Xenopus tropicalis: one gene and its partners. The protein of the gene in region 1 interacts with the protein of each later gene in a biochemical or structural test. Links are inferred from orthologs where the notes say so. Each region holds a gene or a part of one and is shown in the gene's direction. Other genes may lie near its edges. The genes, in order: ube2g2, uba6, uba1 and marchf6.

Region 1 (3,622 bases):
AAGATGAGTGGGCCAAAATTCCTCCAGAGCGCTGTAAAACAACAACAACAACAACAACAAACATTTGTAAAGCGCTTTTCTCCCGTGGGACCCAAAGCGCATAAGCTTGTCTCAGATAAGTTATGTGGCCATAAATGCCAGGCTAAACAGGTGAAGACTCGTTGCAAGTTATCGCAAACGCTTGATTGCAGTTATTGCTGCTAAGGGTGGCCCAACCAGTTATTAGGTTCAGGGGGCAATTACTTTTTCACACAGGGCCATGTAGGTTTGGATTTTTTTTCTCCCTAAATAATAAAAACCCTCATTTAAAAACTGCATTTTGTGTTTACTTGTGTTATCTTTGACTAATAGTTAAATGTGTTTGATGATCAGAAACATTTTGTGTGACAAACCTGCAAAAGAATAAGAAATCAGGAAGGGGGCAAATAGTTTTTCACACCACTGTATATATATATATATAAGATCTTGCTCTGAGCTAAGAATTTTTAACCCTATAAGACCTCATTTAGGGTAATTTGTGCAAGTGTCACACATTAAGGTTAGTGCAGGTAGATCTGTTATGCGGAATGCTTGGGGCCTGGGGTTTTCTGGTTGAGGGATTTTCCGTAGTATGGAGCTCCATTCCTTAAGTCTACTTAAAATTGTTGAAACATTAAAAAATCCAGTAGAATTGTTGTTTTGCTTTCAGAATGGATTCATGTAGATTAAATACCATCAAATACAAGGTACTATTTTCTTACTAAAGAGAAAAAAAGATCATTTAAAAATATTAAAATTATATGCTTCAAATAGACTTTATAGGAGGCGAGTTTTCTGGATAACGGGTTTCAAAGTGAGGTTTCATGAGGTGTCATGATTTGTGGCAGCAAGTTGAAGTTTTCTTTATTCTTTTTGCCTGCAGGGGCCCAGAAGACACATGTTTTGAGTGTGGCGTTTTCCCAGCGATTCTCAGTTTTCCTCTTGATTATCCACTTAGCCCACCGAAAATGAGATTTACCTGTGAAATGTTTCATCCAAACAGTAAGTAAACTGATTAGCTCAACTACTGGTACTGAAGCTTTTGTCTAATATTACAGTAAATGATTTTGGCAAATCCACATAGACATAAACAAGAAATATATAAGTAATGATAAAGATATTTAACAAGTATACGTTTAACGTTGCAGCCCTTTTTATTTATTTATTTCTGCATTTAATTAACTATTTTTGTATGCCTGTGTAGTCTATATAAATTAATGCCTAAATGTAAAGGGGTAAAATGAGTGTCTTTATCTATCAGGCTGAACTTTCTTATGATTTCTATAAACTGATGGTAAAGTTTGAAAGCACTAAACATTTCTACTTGTTTCTTTTTATACAAGTCAAAGGCAACATATTGTTTTCATTTTCTGTCAGTATGGTACAAAACCAACCCATAATTTGTCTTCTTTCAAGATGCTGAAACACATAAGTGTATGTAATCCAGTCCCATGAATAGCCATTAAGAGTAAAAAAGGGTTAAAAATCCCAGAAAAGGAAGGGCTTACAAAATGCCAACAAATGCTGTTTTATTAAGATTCGCATATTTAGAGGAGGCTGTACTTGGCAGAAAAGTAAAGGTTTTGAGTATCTTATTATCTTTTCATGTGCTGATGTGTAATTCCTTGTATATATTGATTAAATGGAAACATTTTATATATATATATATATATATAGACGTGATGCATGGGGATGATCATAGTATAGGCACACAAGCCTTATAAAAAGCCAGCATTTAGAAAAACGTAACTTCCATATTCTTCCAGATATTACCAGATATTATTTGTTGCATCTTGTGTGGATCAACTCTAAATGATTAACTCTTCACATTTGAATTGTTTTGTACATTCTGTTATTAAATTTGCAATAAGGTTTGTGGCAATTACAAAGCCCAAAGCACAGTGGACAATGAACTGCATCAGTTATTTCAGGTGCATATAAAGGACCTGTAGTGCAATGGCAAAGTATTTACACTGTTGCGCTAGCTTAGTAAATAGCACACCACTAGTAGATAAATAACAGAAATTAAGTGTCACTTGGTTGGCATGGAAAACATAAAATCAACCATGTTATTGACTTACTTAGAGAGCTAAAAATACAGTATTGGTATAGATAGTATATCTCTGCAGTATATAATCTTTAAATAATTTCAAAATAATTTTGAGGTTTCTTTTACCTGCTGCTCTTATTGTTACCTGATGAATAGTGATCAAGTGTTCAAAAGCTTTTTTGCATGCTTAATTTTTTTTCTTTAGTATATCCAGATGGGAGGGTCTGCATCTCCATCCTGCATGCCCCAGGAGATGATCCCATGGGTTACGAGAGCAGTGCTGAGAGGTGGAGCCCTGTTCAGAGTGTGGAGAAGATTCTGCTTTCTGTTGTGAGCATGTTAGCAGGTGGGCAAATTTAATTTTTTATGATAAACATTAAGGGCAAGGGCACACGGGGTGGATTGCCAGCCTGCAGATAAGCACAGGCTGAAATCTGCCCCTATGCTTATAAAATCTTCTCGTTGTTCCTGCATCCAGAAGCATTGAATCCACACGGGTGCAGGATACGCAGCGAATATCCAACAACAAACGCGAAACTTGCTGTTTGTTGGTGGATATTGGCTGCGTGTGCCTTAACCTGAGGATTTACTGCTTCCCGTGTACAGGAACAACTAGAAGATTTTTTATGTGTAGGCGCAGATTGTCATCCCGTGCTTATCTGTAGGCTGACAATCCACCACTTGTGCCCTGACCCCGAGAAATGAGCAACTGCAGCTACATTCCAAGGAAGTCAGCACATTTTATAACTATTATTCTCCGTTTTATTTACCTTAAATACCCATAGGTAAATGAGGACCCAGCTTATTCTGTGAACACAGTATCCCTCCTCTGTAGATTTACATTCATGAATGACCTTACAAAGAGGTTGTGGCAGTTTGAGCAGGTTCTAATATACACGCATAGGATTTATCAGGCAGATCAGAGTTTAAGTCCAGGCTTAGAAGCAGTTAATACTGTCTCACAAGCAGCCCTAACCCATGGATGATTAGTAGAAAATGATTCAGAATAATATAATTATCTGCTTTTTGCTTCTTTGCTAAAATGCTAAAATCTTTTGCAGAGCCCAATGACGAAAGTGGAGCAAACGTGGATGCTTCAAAAATGTGGCGAGAAGATCGTGAGCAATTTAACAAGATTGCAAGACAAACTGTGCAGAAATCATTAGGGTTGTGAAACCTAGCAGTATTTTAGAAACTGGATCCCAAAAACTTTTTGTATGAACGCTTTATGGACTCACTAGAGAAATTTCTATGTTGTAATTCCTTTTCTAGTTGAGCTGAATTATTACATCATGCAGGGCTTGTATTCATCACAGCTTAGTAAATACTGCATGTTTTTTTTTTTAAAAAAACCTACACAAGTACTTGCTGGCTGCTTCCTTATTTGCAACTGCCTTTATTCTCTGTTTTTTATTAAAGGTGGATCTTTGTTTTAAAACAAAGTATCAGACGTAGAAAAGCCACCGGTGTTCTATACTTTGTTTGTTAATGCAGACCTCTGCCATTATTTTGAAGACTTGACCTCAGAAATGAAGGGATATAGCTGTTTAATTG
Region 2 (5,567 bases), on another chromosome or scaffold:
CAGTAGGGCAAAAAAAAAAAAAGCAATTTTTTAAGCTTCAATTCACATTTACACGTCCACATTGAATATAATGAGCAATAGCAGAAACTACACATTGCCTACTGAGAGAAAAATCAGCGTAGAGTCTGGAGAAGTGGGTATAACACAGAAATTCATGTTTTGTTATAAATAGAGAGGCAGAACAACAGGCACAAATCAGGCTTGCCAGGTTGAGCAGTGCACAAATACATGTGGTATACAAAAAAGAGGCATCTGGACTTCAGCCACCATAAGCACAAAACTCCTATATTTGCCTAATTCTGACTACATCCAGATTTCACTATTCCCTATCTTCTTATCAACTCAGTTTTCGCCTCCCAGTGGCAAGTCAGATCACTGTATTACAGCTACCTGCCCAAGAACGTACAAAGTCAGGGAGGCTGGCATGTCTGCAAGAGTTAGGGGCTGATGTCAAACTTCCTGACACTTCTGAAAAACCTACTCATTTTAAATGAATGAAAAATAGATTTCCTGTCCCTGGCAGTCTTTTAATTGAGTCACCCATAACTCAAAGTTTTAATCACTAATTAGGGTATTTTTCCGGTTACTACCGAAAGCACCAGGCAAGAAAATTGAACGCTTGTATAAAACTGCAATGAGCAGAGCTGCGCTAGGTCATCTCAAACTACGCATTACCTGATATTGTTTTAAAGCTTCCAGTCTTTAATGGCTTTTTGGCAACATGTACAATCCGAGCCTCCTGTCACTATCTAATAAAGATAGGCTTGTCTGAATTATATTCTGCTCTTTCCTTCCGCTTTCTTATAGCTGCAAGGCATGGTGGGATTTGTAGTTTTCCTTTTTCCTTTCCTCATTGCTTCCTTTCCCTGGCCGACACCGAATTGTGACGGCTGCAGCATCACAGGTTAGAATTCTACACGCTGTATTGTAACTAGAATGAAACACATTTTGTTTGGAGGAGGGTTATAAAGGAGACAGCATTCTAATGGGACATTTGCTTGTGTTCTCTGCTGGGTGCCGTGTCACTGCTGTCAGTATCCATGTGTAAGCTTGCACCAGGATTTTGCTGACATTTCAATGGGGGTACATTTTTCTTAAAGGGGATGAACTTTCCAGTATATATGTATTAGATATTCTTAATGTTTTTAACATTATTTGTAAATGTAATTGCATTTGAAAGCAGTATTAATCTCTTTATGATCTCTCGTTCTAAGTCTTGAAGCAATGGAGTAGATGTCAGTTCTCTACTTTAGTCAGCTGGCTTCTGCTACTTTGTTTTAGGAGTCACCCAGCAGTGCAGAGAATATAAGCAGGCAGAAAGATGCTGTAACATTTACATTTAACTTCAAAGCTATTGAAATATTCAAATGTATATTGGAAAGTTTCTTTCATCTTGCAGTAGCAACAACAAACAAAGATATATCTGTGAAATATTTACTATTTTAGTGTAAGTGGCAGATCAGCTTGTGCTTTATTTTCACTGGGATGTTTCAACTTCTGTTTTACACAAAAAACACATCAGTCTGTAATGGTTGAAAATCACCTGTCTGCACTTACAGGCTGACTGTTCTAAACAACTACTGTCATTAAGGGCAAAGTCACATGGAGCTACTAATAGCCGCTACTTTTTCACAGCTACTAAACTCCAGAAAATACCTTGCCATAGACAATAGTGAGAATTGCCTCTGCTAAAACACACGTAGAGACAATTATCAGTAAATGATCAGCAGTCTTTTTTTAGCCACAAGTAGCTGCTACTAGTAGCTCTGTGTGTCTTCACCCTAAAAGGGGTGCTATAATCACACATTTGTCCCATTCAGGGCCGGATTTCCAAATTGTCCGCCCCCGGTCACACGCCTTCCCCCCCAGTGCGCATGCGCGATACAGGGGGAGAGGGGTTTGCGTGCGCAGTGGGCCAAACTTGGATACGAAGCAGTGGGGAGAAGTCCCCCCATTGCTCCGTATGGGTACAAAACTTTTTAGATTTTGGTGTGGCGGGGCGGCATGCCGCCCTAGGCCCGGGCCTTTGTGGCCTCTCCACAAATCCGGGCCTGGTCCCATTTCATTATTCATTGCTTAAATAACCATTTATTATGGGTTCATATTATTAGATTTTATATTTCCACTGAATTGTTTGTTCATCAAAGCTTTTTCTTCTCCTTTAACTCTTACCAGGTATCAGGAAAAATCTGTATTTCTGCCCCTTATTTTTAAGCAAAACAAGCATTATTTTCCCCACAATCTCTAACGTCTGCAGCCAGATGCCCCTCCCCTGTGTGTATGTCACACTATCTTGCTTGTATGTGCCTGTAGTATGATGCATAGCAGGCTGGAATGGTTGAACAATTGGATCAGCAAGTATTCTGGCTTACCTCCTGGGGTGGAGCCTGCAGCCACCTTGCAGACAAGTATGAGGAAGAGAAGGCAGGATGCAAAAGAGATTAGGCAAACTTGTACACCAGGTAGTATCGTTCAGGTTAAGTAAGGTAACCAGCAAATGACCAGATTGCATTCTTCTGTTATATTAGTCAAAACTAGTAGCCCAGTTCCCCGCCTTCTGAACAACTTTCTGTGTGCCACCCTGTCAGTCATACCTGGTAAGATTGGTGCTTGTGGCCCCTCTGTCTGTTGTCATATTAAAACCAATATTCTTGTACCTGGCTTTTTAATTAATTTTTCTCTATGTATTAAACAAAATGTTGGTGCCCTATGTATTGAACCAAATACAACATCTATACTATATATTAATGAAATTGAACCATTCCATACTGCCTTAGATATTTCCCTATGTATAATGTAGGAAATGTAGAACCCATCTATTTATTCTTTCTGTGCCATGTTGCCAAAGCTAACTATAGCATGTCCCACATTGTCACTGTATCCTACATTTCTTGTTTTGCACAAAGCAGTCAAAGGATGCTAATTGAGTAACAGCCGGATAGGTAATGGTACCAAAGGTACTATCCCATTAGCTGTTTTTTTTGTAATTTTTTCTTTTTATGAACCTGACTTTAACTGACTTGACGTGATAAGAAATCGTGGAAACTCTTCTGCCTTTTGTCCACAGACCAAAATATGTTAGCAGTATTTGCTTTTCACCTTTTTTTAGCAGCTCTCGCTTTCTGGAGTATGTTCATCTTTTGGCCTCCCTGGTTACCCCTAAATACTAAGCTCCAAATACAGGATTCAGTTTAAGAGTCATCCAACTAGCAAGTTTTATTAGGACTTATTAGAACTAAGCTTTAATGTTCAGCCAAACCCAGTCTTGTACCTGGAAAATAAAAGCACTGCACAACAGAAGGCAATGTTTTTCCATGGATGATGCAAACTTTTTAATTCTGCTCAAAACAAAATATGCAAATTCAGACTTGGGATCATTTAGGTATTTCACCAAAATGATCGCTTCGAATTGATTTGTCTAATAAATTTGGACCTGGTGTATCTTTATCAACTACAGGTGACTGCAGCTATTCTGGCTAGCTACTTATAAAAGTGTCCTATTAAAATGAGTTTCCTGTATTTCCAACATTGCTTACAGTGTAAACCCTAGTTTCATTAGATATATATACAGTACCCATGCACTTTTCTCTCTCAAACAGTATGTAAATATTCCCTAGTTCTTACCCAGCAGTATCTATGATTTCCCTGGAGGTTCTGCACCAGTATGTAGGGTTTCCCTTCACCCTTTATTTCAATTACAGGTATGGGATCCGTTACCTGAAAACCCATTATACAGAATGTTCCAAATTAGAGGAAGGCCATCTTCCACAGACTCCATTATAAGCAAATAATTAAAAATTTTAAAAGTGATTTCCTTTTTCTCTGTATTAATAAAACAGTACCTTGTACTTGATCCCAACTAACATATAATTAACCATTATTAGAGGCAAAACAATCCTATTGGGTTTAATTGATTAAGGTATGGAGATCCCTTATCTGGAATCCTCTGGTCCCAAGCACTCTTTATTTTGAATAAAAAATCCTGCATTGAAATTGTGTTCTGTGATTTCTTATCAGAATTAGCTTGTCTATGTCACATTATTTAAAAAAAAAACCAAAAACATGAAATGTGTTTTGTATAATTATTCAGTCCCCATAAGTATACATAAGTATGCTTTGCATACTAATTGGGTCTGATTTTGGCCCAAACTTGCAGATTTGTTCCAAGTTTTCCAAATAATTTTGATGCAATTTTCAAAAGAGTGCCAAAGATGCACAATTTGATTAAGAATCTGGGCATTGACTGGGAATATGCCTTTTGGTTCTTGCTACCATAAAAATTGAGAAATTATGACCTCCCTGTATTTGTTTGTGTCAGCCATAGTTCAATTACCATCTTCTCGAAGTCCTGCATTTGTGTACAAAATGCTGCAGTGTGCTTTTTTGTGCTTAGTCACCAATTCTAAGGTAGATAGATTTAGAGCAGTATCTGCCAAAAATGTGATTTACAAGCAACATAAACATTCTCTGTGCATTAAGTTTTGTTTTTAAATATACTGGACTTCATTTTACCTTTTCTTGACAGTTAAAGTATTTGACATAAGTGTTGAAGGGTCTGCAAATAAATGAGCCAAAGCACTCAAGTATAATTTGATTATAACCATAACTTGATCCTGCTACTTAATATCTAATCCTTCTTCTATTTTTCACAGGCAGCAAAATATACTGACCAAATTATGGCAGCAGAATCAACTGAAATTGATGATGGTTTATATAGGTAAGTGGCAGAATATTAATTATACTTAGGCTGAGGGTACACAGGGTGCTTTTCAATGAATCTGAATGAGCTGTCAATATTTTTAAAGGGCAAGTCAAGCAAAAAAATTTTTTTTTTTTTTTACCCAATAGAAAAACAAAATTCTAAGCAACTTTGCAATATACATTCATTACAAATTTATAATTGATCAGTGTTTGCCTGTCATGTTCTATTCCCTGCCCTGGTGGTTCAGACTGTAGAAACAATGTAACACAAGGCAGCAGATTGACAGACCTTTCTCGCTGGAGGAGGCTGACCATTGCAACATTGTTTAAAAGTAACAACCAGGAGTTCAGCAAATGCTGCTTTCAATAGCAATTGCATTTACAAATAACTTTTAAAGCACTAAAACATTTAATAAATCCATATTGGAAAGTTGCTTTGAATTATGTTTCCTTTTACTAGGCAAACAATTATTCTTGGGGTTGACATGCCCTTTAAACATTTCTATTTTGAGTCAATGGAAGGCAAGGAATAGCAAATTCAGGCTTCTGGCACATAGGTGTGTCCTGCACCCCCCCCCCCCCCCCCAGGTATGTCAGTGGCGATGCCCCATCCACCTAATTGATGTTACCAGCAGTACTGTTCATATATATAGAAAACAAGTCAGGATTGGCCTGGTTCAGGTCATTCAAGAGCATTCAAGATCACATACCGTAACAGCCATTTACATAGTTATGTAGGTAAGTTGGGTTGAAAAAAGACAAAAGTCTATAAAGTTCGACCCTTCCAAATAAACCCCAGTGCATACACATACATATACAGACCTATCTAAATACTCAAAATATATAAAATATATACTAAACTATAT
Region 3 (5,581 bases), on another chromosome or scaffold:
TACTGTCTGTCCCTCTGTACCGACCCTGATACTGTCTGTCCCTCTGTCCCGACCCTGATACTGTCTGTCCCTCTGTCCCGACCCTGATACTGTCTGTCCCTCTGTCCCGACCCTGATACTGTCTGTCCCTCTGTCCCGACCCTGATACTGTCTGTCCCTCTGTACCGGCCCTGATACTGTCTGTCCCTCTGTCCCGGCACCGACCCTGATACTGTCTGTCCCTCTGTACCGGCCCTGATACTGTCTGTCCCTCTGTACCGACCCTGATACTGTCTGTCCCTCTGTACCGGCCCTGATACTGTCTGTCCCTCTGTACCGGCCCTGATACTGTCTGTCCCTCTGTCCCGACCCTGATACTGTCTGTCCCTCTGTACCGACCCTGATACTGTCTGTCCCTCTGTACCGGCCCTGATACTGTCTGTCCCTCTGTACCGGCCCTGATACTGTCTGTCCCTCTGTCCCGACCCTGATACTGTCTGTCCCTCTGTACCGGCCCTGATACTGTCTGTCCCTCTGTCCCGGCACCGACCCTGATACGGTCTGTCCCTCTGTCCCGGCACCGACCCTGATACTGTCTGTCCCTCTGTACCGACCCTGATACTGTCTGTCCCTCTGTCCCGGCACCGACCCTGATACGGTCTGTCCCTCTGTCCCGGCACCGACCCTGATACTGTCTGTCCCTCTGTCCCGGCACCGACCCTGATACTGTCTGTCCCTCTGTCCCGGCACCGACCCTGATACTGTCTGTCCCTCTGTACCGACCCTGATACTGTCTGTCCCTCTGTACCGACCCTGATACTGTCTGTCCCTCTGTACCGACCCTGATACTGTCTGTCCCTCTGTACCGGCCCTGATACTGTCTGTCCCTCTGTCCCGGCCCTGATACTGTCTGTCCCTCTGTACCGACCCTGATACTGTCTGTCCCTCTGTACCGACCCTGATACTGTCTGTCCCTCTGTCCCGGCCCTGATACTGTCTGTCCCTCTGTCCCGGCCCTGATACTGTCTGTCCCTCTGTCCCGGCCCTGATACTGTCTGTCCCTCTGTACCGGCCCTGATACTGTCTGTCCCTCTGTCCCGGCACCGACCCTGATACGGTCTGTCCCACTGTCCCACCCCACTGTGGGTTCTCTGTTCAGGTTACCCACAGCCTTTTGGTGCCAGGATACCAATATAAGTAGGAGGAGCTTATATTTCTAGCCTGGTTACATTGTACCATTGAGTTGAGTTGTTGGGGGCAGAAACGTGGAAATAAAGACCAATTGCATTGGGGGTCACCCTGTTTGATTGCTCGCTCTGCTGCCACGGGGGGTTTAGCTGTGCGGCGAGGGTGGCACAAATAGTATAGGGGTGTTATTATATTGGGCTGCGTGGGGATGAGTTGGGCGCCTGTGAGTGTCACTGTGTGAGTACAGCTGCTACTGCTAGAGAGGCCTGTGTAAAGCCGCTTTGCCCCATGTTGGGGGGGGGGGGGTACAGTATGCTGGGTAGGTTATGCCAGGCTTCATACGGGGCAAACGCCAAATGGTGGGGCCCCAAACCCTTCCTGGGCCCCAGAGATACCGTAGAATTTCCTGCAGTCTCACTGCTGTGCCTGCCCCCGTCTCCCTGCCGTTGTACCTTCTCTCACCCCCAGGTGGGGCAATACCTGCAGCATGGCAGCTTTGTAATGCCCAACAGGAGCTGCTTGTTCTGCCCAAGAGCTGACATTCTATAATATTCATTATAGAGTTACAGAAATTGTTGTATTTGCTCTGTGTTTGCGCACACTGCTTGCTCGTCCCTCGTGCCCCGCCCCTGCTTGCTCGTCCCTCGTGCCCCGCCCCTGCTTGCTCGTCCCTCGTGCCCCGCCCCTGCTTGCTCGTCCCTCGTGCCCCGCCCCTGCTTGCTCGTCCCTCGTGCCCCGCCCCTGCTTGCTCGTCCCTCGTGCCCGCCCCTGCTTGCTCGTCCCTCGTGCCCCGTCCCTGCTTGCTCGTCCCTCGTGCCCCGCCCCTGCTTGCTCGTCCCTCGTGCCCCCCCCTGCTTGCTCGTCCTGGTGCCCCGCCCTGCTTGCTCGTCCCTGGTGCCCCCCTTCGCCGGCCCCCCCTGCTTGCTCGTCCCTGGTGCCCCGCCCCTGCTTGCTCGTCCTGTGCCCCGCCCCTGCTTGCTCGTCCCTGGTGCCCCGCCCCTGCTTGCTCCGTCCCTGGTGCCCCGCACCCTGCTTGCTCGTCCCTGGTGCCCCGCCCCTGCTTGCTCGTCCCTGGTGCCCCGCCCCTGCTTGCTCGTCCCTGGTGCCCCCCCCCTGCTTGCTCGTGCCCCGCCCCTGCTTGCTCGTCCCTCGTGCCCCGCCCCTGCTACGGTACCAGCCCTGTACAACCGCATACACTGACCTGATCTTTTCTCCCGGTTAGATGTCCAGCTCGCCGCTGTCCAAGAAGCGTCGCGTGTCCGGATCTGAGACAAAGACGGGTTCAAACTGCTCATCCTCCAACTCCGTGAGCACCGATCAGACTGCGCCGGCCAACGTGAGTGCCCCCCGGGCTGTGCCGCCATATTCTAACCCCTTTCTACTTTGCTCAGAGTCAACCTGTACCCTTGGCTTTCTAGCTGGGGGCCAGTAGTAATGTGGCCCCGAGATTAACCCAATGGGCTTATTGCAGGGGAGGGCTCTAGTGTGGCCCCGAGATTAACCCAATGGATTTATTGCAGGGGAGGGCTCTAATGTGGCCCCCAGATTAACCCAATGGATTTATTGCAGGGGAGGGCTCTAATGTGGCCCCCAGATTAACCCAATGGATTTATTGCAGGGGAGGGCTCTAATGTGGCCCCGAGATTAACCCAATGGATTTATTGCAGGGGAGGGCTCTAATGTGGCCCCCAGATTAACCCAATGGATTTATTGCAGGGGAGGGCTCTATGTGGCCCCCAGATTAACCAATGGATTTATTGCAGGGGAGGGCTCTAATGTGGCCCCCAGATTAACCCAATGGATTTATTGCAGGGGAGGGCTCTAATGTGGCCCCCAGATTAACCCAATGGATTTATTGCAGGGGAGGGCTCTAATGTGGCCCCCAGATTAACCCAATGGATTATTGCAGGGGAGGGCTCTAATGTGGCCCCCAGATTAACCCAATGGATTTATTGCAGGGGAGGGCTCTAATGTGGCCCCCAGATTAACCCAATGGATTTATTGCAGGGGAGGGCTCTAATGTGGCCCCCAGATTAACCCAATGGATTTATTGCAGGGGAGGGCTCTAATGTGGCCCCCAGATTAACCCAATGGATTTATTGCAGGGGATGGCTCGGAACGGGAATTCTGCTGAGATAGACGAGGGTCTCTACTCGAGGCAGCTGTAAGTATAAGACCCTCCCTGGCTGCATGTTATTCGGGGGGGCTTTCTTCCTATTGGCTGCAGGGTTTGGCTCCTCGACTGTTGCTGGGGGCCCCTCTGCTGTGTGGAACCAAGGCCTGGGGACTTTTTTCTCTCTGGGAGGTTAAACTGCCCAGTAGCTTTAACCCTTTTCAGTCTGTGTAACTTCAGTGACCTTTGACCTCCCCAGACCCCTGTATTGTTCAGCATGGCCAGGTGACTGCTGTCGGCCAATCCCGTGAGACTCACATGCAGCCCTAATATAATTGCTTGTTGGAGAAGCAACAGATCAGCGGATTTTGTGCTGACAACTCTTCCGGGTCTCCTTGGCCTTTATGGCCATGTGACTGCAGCCTTTGAGTGGGCCAATCAGAATGGGCAGCTGTACAGATGTGTGCCTTCTGGTATAGATTGGCAGCTTTCCCTATACACAGTTACTGTTTTGTGCATCCCAGGTCCTCCCCCCCCCCCCCCCCGTGTCTTTGTGGGGTCCCCCCCTCACTCCATGAACAACTATGTTGGGCCCCCAGTAAACCTGGCAGCCGGGGGGGTGTCTAATGGCTTAGCTAGAACTGAGAACGCTTGGTGGGAGGGGCTGGAGGGCTAGTGGCTTAGCTAGAACTGGGAACGCTTGGTGGGAGGGGCTGGAGGGCCAGTAGGGCTAATGGCTTAGATAGAACTGGGAATGCTTGGGGGGAGGGGCTGGAGGGCCAGTAGGGCTAATGGCTTAGATAGAACTGGGAACGCTTGGTGGGAGGGCCAGTAGGGCTAATGGCTTAGATAGAACTGGGAGGGGCTGGAGGGCCAGTAGGGCTAATGGCTTAGATAGAACTGGGAACGCTTGGTGGGAGGGGCTGGAGGGCCAGTAGGGCTAATGGCTTAGATAGAACTGGGAATGCTTGGTGGGAGGGGCTGGAGGGCCAGTAGGGCTAATGGTTTTAGATAGAACTGGGAGGGGCTGGAGGGCCAGTAGGGCTAATGGCTTAGATAGAACTGGGAACGCTTGGTGGGAGGGGCTGGAGGGCCAGTAGGGCTAATGGCTTAGATAGAACTGGGAACGCTTAGTGGGAGGGCCAGTAGGGCTAATGGCTTAGAACTGGGAGGGGCTGGAGGGCCAGCAGGGCTAATGGCTTAGATAGAACTGGGAACGCTTGGTGGGAGGTGCTGGAGGGCCAGTAGGGCTAATGGCTTAGATAGAACTGGGAATGCTTGGTGGGAGGGGCTGGAGGGCCAGTAGGGCTAATGGCTTAGATAGAACTGGGAACGCTTGGTGGGAGGGGCTGGAGGGCCAGTAGGGCTAATGGCTTAGATAGAACTGGGAATGCTTGGTGGGAGGGGCTGGAGGGCCAGTAGGGCTAATGGCTTAGATAGAACTGGGAATGCTTGGGGGGAGGGACTGGAGGGCCAGCAGGGCTAATGGCTTAGATAGAGCTGGGAATGCTTGGGGGGGAGGGACTGGAGGGCCAGCAGGGCTAATGGCTTAGATAGAACTGGGAATGCTTGGGGGGAGGGACTGGAGGGCCAGCAGGGCTAATGGCTTAGATAGAACTGGGAATGCTTGGTGGGAGGGGCTGGAGGGCCAGTAGGGCTAATGGCTTAGATAGAACTGGGAATGCTTGGTGGGAGGGGCTGGAGGGCCAGTAGGGCTAATGGCTTAGATAGAACTGGGAATGCTTGGGGGGAGGGACTGGAGGGCCAGCAGGGCTAATGGCTTAGATAGAGCTGGGAATGCTTGGGGGGAGGGACTGGAGGGCCAGCAGGGCTAATGGCTTAGATAGAGATGGGAATGCTTGGGGGGAGGGACTGGAGGGCCAGCAGGGCTAATGGCTTAGATAGAGCTGGGAATGCTTGGGGGGAGGGACTGGAGGGCCAGCAGGGCTAATGGCTTAGATAGAACTGGGAATGCTTGGGGGGAGGGACTGGAGGGCCAGCAGGGCTAATGGCTTAGATAGAACTGGGAATGCTTGGGGGGAGGGACTGGAGGGCCAGCAGGGCTAATGGCTTAGATAGAACTGGGAATGCTTGGGGGGAGGGACTGGAGGGCCAGCAGGGCTAATGGCTTAGATAGAACTGGGAATGCTTGGGGGGAGGGACTGGAGGGCCAGCAGGGCTAATGGCTTAGATAGAATGGGGCTGGAGGGCCAGCAGGGCTAATGGCTTAGATAGAATGGGGCTGGAGGGCCAGTAGGGCTAATGGCTTAGATAGAATGGGGCTGGAGGGCCAGTAGGGCT
Region 4 (4,876 bases), on another chromosome or scaffold:
CAAGTTTTATATTACCCCAAAATCTTGTGCTACAAATTATAGATTGGGAAGAGACAGGGGGAATGTGAGTAACAGGTCCCGTTTAATTTTTTAATGGAATTAAGAACATTTATTTGTATAGTGATGTGCAGTGTGAAAGCCCACAAGCACTTGTTTGACATCTTTTATTCTTAATATGGTTCTGAAAGAATAGTATTTAAGCACTTGTTTGATATGTTTAATTCTTTTTTTTTTTAAAGTTTTTATTTATGCATTTTTCAGATTAACATAAAAGTAAAACAGCAAAAAGGGAGAGAGAGAGAGTAGAGAAGTAAGGGAGGAGAGGGGGGGGAGGAAGGGGAGAAGAGGCAGGCTGTAGAGCTGGGGAGATGGGGACCAGTTTATTTCCGTTGTTATGGTATATTGTCCGCAGTGTTTCCTGGGGTTTCGTGGAAGGCAATCCATGGGCCCCATATTGCATCCAATTTTTTAGGACAACCCCGTGCAAGGTAGGTCAGTTTCTGGTTAGTTAGAGTGTTGTTGACTAGAGTTCTCCAGAATGGGAGGGTTGGGGGGGCTAAGCATTTCCATTGCAGTAGAATGGCCTTTTTGGCATAGTAGAGGAGCTGGAGATAGCAGAGTCTAGAATGATGTGAAAGCCCCAGGTCCTCTGCCACTCCCAGTAGGCAAACAATTGGTGACAATATCCGGGGAAAGCTTAGGTCATCTGAGATATCGTTGACAATTTTCTTCCAGAAGACCTGCACGGCTGGACAGTTCCAGAACACGTGTATGTATGAGCCAGTTTCTCGGTCACATTTTATACAGGTGTCTGGGGTCTGGGGAAACATTTTGTACAGCCTGTATGGCGTAAGGTATACCCGGTTTAGAAACTTCATTTGTATATACCTGTCCGCTAGTGATATTGTCAGGTCTGGAATTTGCCTTAGAGCATCTACCCAAGTTTCTTCAGTTAAGCTAGGGATATGTTTAATTCTTAATGTGCTTCTGAAAGTTTAGAATTTAAGGGGACAAATAATAATCATCATTCTGTGTGCAATTGTCTTTATTTTTCTTGTGCAGGACTGGGCTCTTGGAGTTCTCCATGCCAAAATAATTGCTGCTATAACTCTGATGGGTCCTCAGTGGTGGCTGAAAACTGTAATTGAACAAGTAAGAAACCAAATAATTTTTATTCCTGATTCTTGCATGTAAATAGCACAGACAAAAGAATACAAAATAGTGACCTTCTCCAATATCTCCAATAAATTACACAAGCTCCTTTTGCACTAATTCTTATTGATACATGAAAAGACATTAAGATACTACTAAAATGTCCTTATTTATAAAAATAAAAATTGCAACATATGATACAGAAGAGCAATGAATATCCTATATATTATATCCTTTTATACTGTGCCTAATAAGGAAATCAGTTTTAATCAGTTTTGTATGATATGAGGGTATTTAAAATAACCTTGCAGTTCATTATTTATATTTGCTGTTCAGAAGCGAGAGCCATACACTAATCTGTGTGTCTGTTATTTGACCCACTCTTTTTGTCATCTGCTGCTGGCTGTTCCAAAGCCCGTTCCAAAGTGTACCCTAAGCCAATTGACTTCACTACTCCTCCAGTTACATGGGAATAGGAGAAACAGTAGGTTATCTGAAAGCATTTCTAATGCTGACTCCTTCTGAAAGCTCAAAATCAGGCACAATGTACTGAGATGGCTCACCAATATTACAAATAAAAAAAAAATAAAAATACATATGTTGGTTCAAGAATAAAATTTTAAATGGTGACGTGAATTACTTGCTAAAACAGTGTAATTTAGAAATAAAAAGTACACTACAAAAAATCATGACAGAATCCCATGATTCCCAAAAGAGACCTCAACTGATTTTTATATGGCTATTAGAAGTCACCTCTTCTGAGTTCTGTGACTCAGCATTGTATGGTCACATAACTCTTCTTGACGTCAACAGCATTAAAATTACAGTAGAGGAGGCGGTATTCTCTATACATTTTACCAGGTCAACTGGTCCAGTCATCAGAAATAAGAGAAATTGATTTATTTATTTTCCCAGCATAGCCAAGACTTGTTAACACCAATAAATAAAGAAAAATGGGTTTCACCCCACTTAGGGGATCATGCTGCATCCAGGGGAGGAATACTAGTAGAGGAAGACACCATGTTGAAGTTCTTTATTACGTTTATTGTAACTTAAAAAATTGGCAACTTGTACATGTTTTATATTTTGGCTGTAATGTTTTAAACTTGCTTAACCAAAGAATTTTGAAAAAAGTTCTTGTTCAAAGCAAGAAAATACTCCTATGTCTGTACTTTTTTGTATACACAAGTGTTTAATATATTTTCAATGTAGTGCCCTGTGTATTTACACATACACAAACAGCAAACTATTTTATGGAATAAATCTAATCATTATTTATTGGTGAGCCACCTCAGCCAAATAGAAGCATGATTTTTGTGTTTTGTTAGGTAAAACCCTTTTGCTTCCTGCAGAAAAGATGTTCTCAAGTGAAAAACAGGTTTTCATTTTGTTTTGGTGTAAAATACTTGTTAAAAGTCTGTTTGTTTAAAAACCATGTATGTATTTCTCCATGGTAAAGCTATTCTAAACATTTTGTAATGAGACCAGGTTTGTAGAGATTAATTTGGGCTAAATATAAACTTTTATTTTCCATCCTTTGTGTTTTTATTAGGTATATGCAAATGGAATACGCAACATTGATCTTCATTTTATAATACGCAGACTTGCTGCACCAGTCATCTCTGTTCTGTTGCTGTCACTATGTATACCATATATAATTGCTGCTGCCATTGTGCCAGTAATTGGTAAGTGTTTCTGCTTAAGTTTTTGTTTACAGATGTATAAGAAATTTTTCTAAGTTCTTTCATTTTTTACAGGTGTCACAGCAGAAATGCAAAATTTGGTACAGCGCCGCATATATCCATTTCTTTTGATGGTAGTAGTTCTGATGGGGATCTTATCCTTCCAGATCCGCCAGTTTAAGCGCCTTTATGAACACATCAAAAATGACAAGTAAGGAAACAATTTTATATTACCAATCTTCCTTTTTTACCTGCTTGAACTATATGCTAATTATTAATACATTTTAAAAGTTTGCATTAAAATGTTTTTTGACTTGTTTATTTCCTGGTTAAATTGGTACCCTTGGCTATAGCTAAACATGAACTTTTGTTTGTTCAGCCTTTGGGTCCGTCTCAGGGCCCCATGCAGGGGTGAATAAACTGCCAACTCAGACCACTGGCAGCTTTTATCGCCCTGTGTACAATCAGATCAATCCAAATTGATACTTTATAACATGATCTGGATGAATATTGAACACATTTTACTGTTTTTCAGTGTTATGTTTGTCTGACACTGTAGGCTATTTTAAAAGATAGCCGAGTATCAGATATACAATCTGCATATATATTACATGCTGTAGCACACAGCCTAATGCTACCTTCTTTCAAAATAAGGAATGCCTAGACACTGAATGCTGTTCATTCAATTCACAACAGGCACTCCTACATAAACTGAATACTATTTTATCGCAGTTATTGCAGGGACCCCTAGATGCAGCATTATAACAGGCAACGTTGATGGCAATTATAACAAAAGCTTCAATCATACTACCTGCTGCTACGTCCATTTTATATCACATTTAGACTGCTTCTGCAGACTCAATTCTATTTGCCGCAACTTTTAATAATAATAAGACCCCCAAGACAGGCTGCCTTATACAGGAACTCCCAAGTACACTGTCTACAGCTGCTGCACTTTTATATGAGAGGCCCATGGTGTTTATTTAATGTTTTTGCTAATAACTTCCTGTAACCCAAAAGCACCTATCCAGGACAAGTTCACATGTAATGTAAATATCAAACAATCCCTACATACCATACAAGCATGTGGAGGATAAGCAGCTGTTTTGTCTCTTGGCTTCGATTGTCAGATCAAGCAGCCTAGGTAAACCTCAATCACACCTGTTTCCTAAAAGTATTTAGCTCACAGACCGGCTTTTCACATCTAAGGCTGATGCCACACGTGGCGTAGGGCTGATTTTTTCGGCTACATGTGCCTGCACCCAAGCGTATCCCATTCATTCGGGTGCAGGCACAAGTAGCAGGCGTAGGGCTGAATTTTTGGCAAGCGTTTTTCCGCTTGCCGAAAAAATCAGCCCTACGCCTGGTGTGGCATCAGCCTAATATCTTGCAGTATTTTTCGCAAGAAAGCTCACAATGACATCACTGGAATCTCTGTGAGCTGACAGGTAGTGATTTTTTTTCTACAGATACTAGTGAGCAGCACTACCCTTCAAGACAAACACAAGTAGGCAAATTGTCAGTCTTAGGATTTGTTTATTTTTCTCTTTCTTTTTTTAAACTTTGATTTTTTTTATGGAGGGTTGAGGGAGGTTTAGGAAAATGCCTATTTCTTTATTCATTTTACTTAAATACCAGTTTAAGAGTTAAAGGGATTAAGTAAGGCTGAAGAAAACAAAATATCACAATACCAGCACTGTTTGTGATACATACTTTAGCCGACCATATATGCACCAATAGTATCGTACAAAACCTTGATTCGTATGATACTTGGTTTGTGTATGGCGGGTCGACAAAGCGACTGATATCGCAAAAGGCTGCAGATATTGGTCGACTCGCCGATCGACCAGGTTAAAAGATTTTGTAATGGCACCCGAGCAAAATCTACGTTCAGGGCTGAATCGGTAGATTTTTTATTGTTTCTACCTCCATATCTGACAATTCAGCCCTGAACATCAGTGGAAGGTGGGAACCATCTTTCGTGCAACCATTGGTCGCACAAAAGATCGAAATTGCTACGTTTATGGCCACCTTTAGACCTA

The links.
Region 2: the proteins of ube2g2 (region 1) and uba6 form a complex in vitro, tested with the Homo sapiens proteins (2 studies listed by BioGRID, with this or other methods). The link is inferred for Xenopus tropicalis from reciprocal best matches to the Homo sapiens genes UBE2G2 and UBA6.
Region 3: of the proteins of ube2g2 (region 1) and uba1, one has a biochemical effect on the other in vitro, tested with the Homo sapiens proteins (5 studies listed by BioGRID, with this or other methods). The link is inferred for Xenopus tropicalis from reciprocal best matches to the Homo sapiens genes UBE2G2 and UBA1.
Region 4: the proteins of ube2g2 (region 1) and marchf6 form a complex in vitro, tested with the Homo sapiens proteins (2 studies listed by BioGRID). The link is inferred for Xenopus tropicalis from reciprocal best matches to the Homo sapiens genes UBE2G2 and MARCHF6.

What each region holds. Positions count from the first base shown.
Region 1 is NC_030685.2:55,059,428-55,063,049, reverse strand, and holds part of ube2g2 (ubiquitin-conjugating enzyme E2 G2), read left to right. Parts: intron 1-901; coding exon 902-1,020; intron 1,021-2,273; coding exon 2,274-2,414; intron 2,415-3,129; coding exon 3,130-3,242; 3' UTR 3,243-3,622. UniProt on the Homo sapiens protein: Accepts ubiquitin from the E1 complex and catalyzes its covalent attachment to other proteins. In vitro catalyzes 'Lys-48'-linked polyubiquitination. Involved in endoplasmic reticulum-associated degradation (ERAD).
Region 2 is NC_030677.2:82,716,753-82,722,319, forward strand, and holds the start of uba6 (ubiquitin-like modifier-activating enzyme 6), read left to right. Parts: upstream 1-2,223; 5' UTR 2,224-2,429; coding exon 2,430-2,462; intron 2,463-4,652; coding exon 4,653-4,717; intron 4,718-5,567. UniProt on the Homo sapiens protein: Activates ubiquitin by first adenylating its C-terminal glycine residue with ATP, and thereafter linking this residue to the side chain of a cysteine residue in E1, yielding a ubiquitin-E1 thioester and free AMP.
Region 3 is NC_030684.2:524,408-529,988, forward strand, and holds the start of uba1 (ubiquitin-like modifier-activating enzyme 1), read left to right. Parts: upstream 1-2,365; 5' UTR 2,366-2,389; coding exon 2,390-2,503; intron 2,504-3,272; coding exon 3,273-3,331; intron 3,332-5,581. UniProt on the Homo sapiens protein: Catalyzes the first step in ubiquitin conjugation to mark cellular proteins for degradation through the ubiquitin-proteasome system.
Region 4 is NC_030682.2:69,926,959-69,931,834, forward strand, and holds part of marchf6 (E3 ubiquitin-protein ligase MARCH6), read left to right. Parts: intron 1-1,062; coding exon 1,063-1,152; intron 1,153-2,704; coding exon 2,705-2,837; intron 2,838-2,909; coding exon 2,910-3,045; intron 3,046-4,876. UniProt on the Homo sapiens protein: Endoplasmic reticulum membrane-associated E3 ubiquitin ligase that plays a critical role in mitigating endoplasmic reticulum stress, the regulation of cholesterol and lipid homeostasis, and ferroptosis.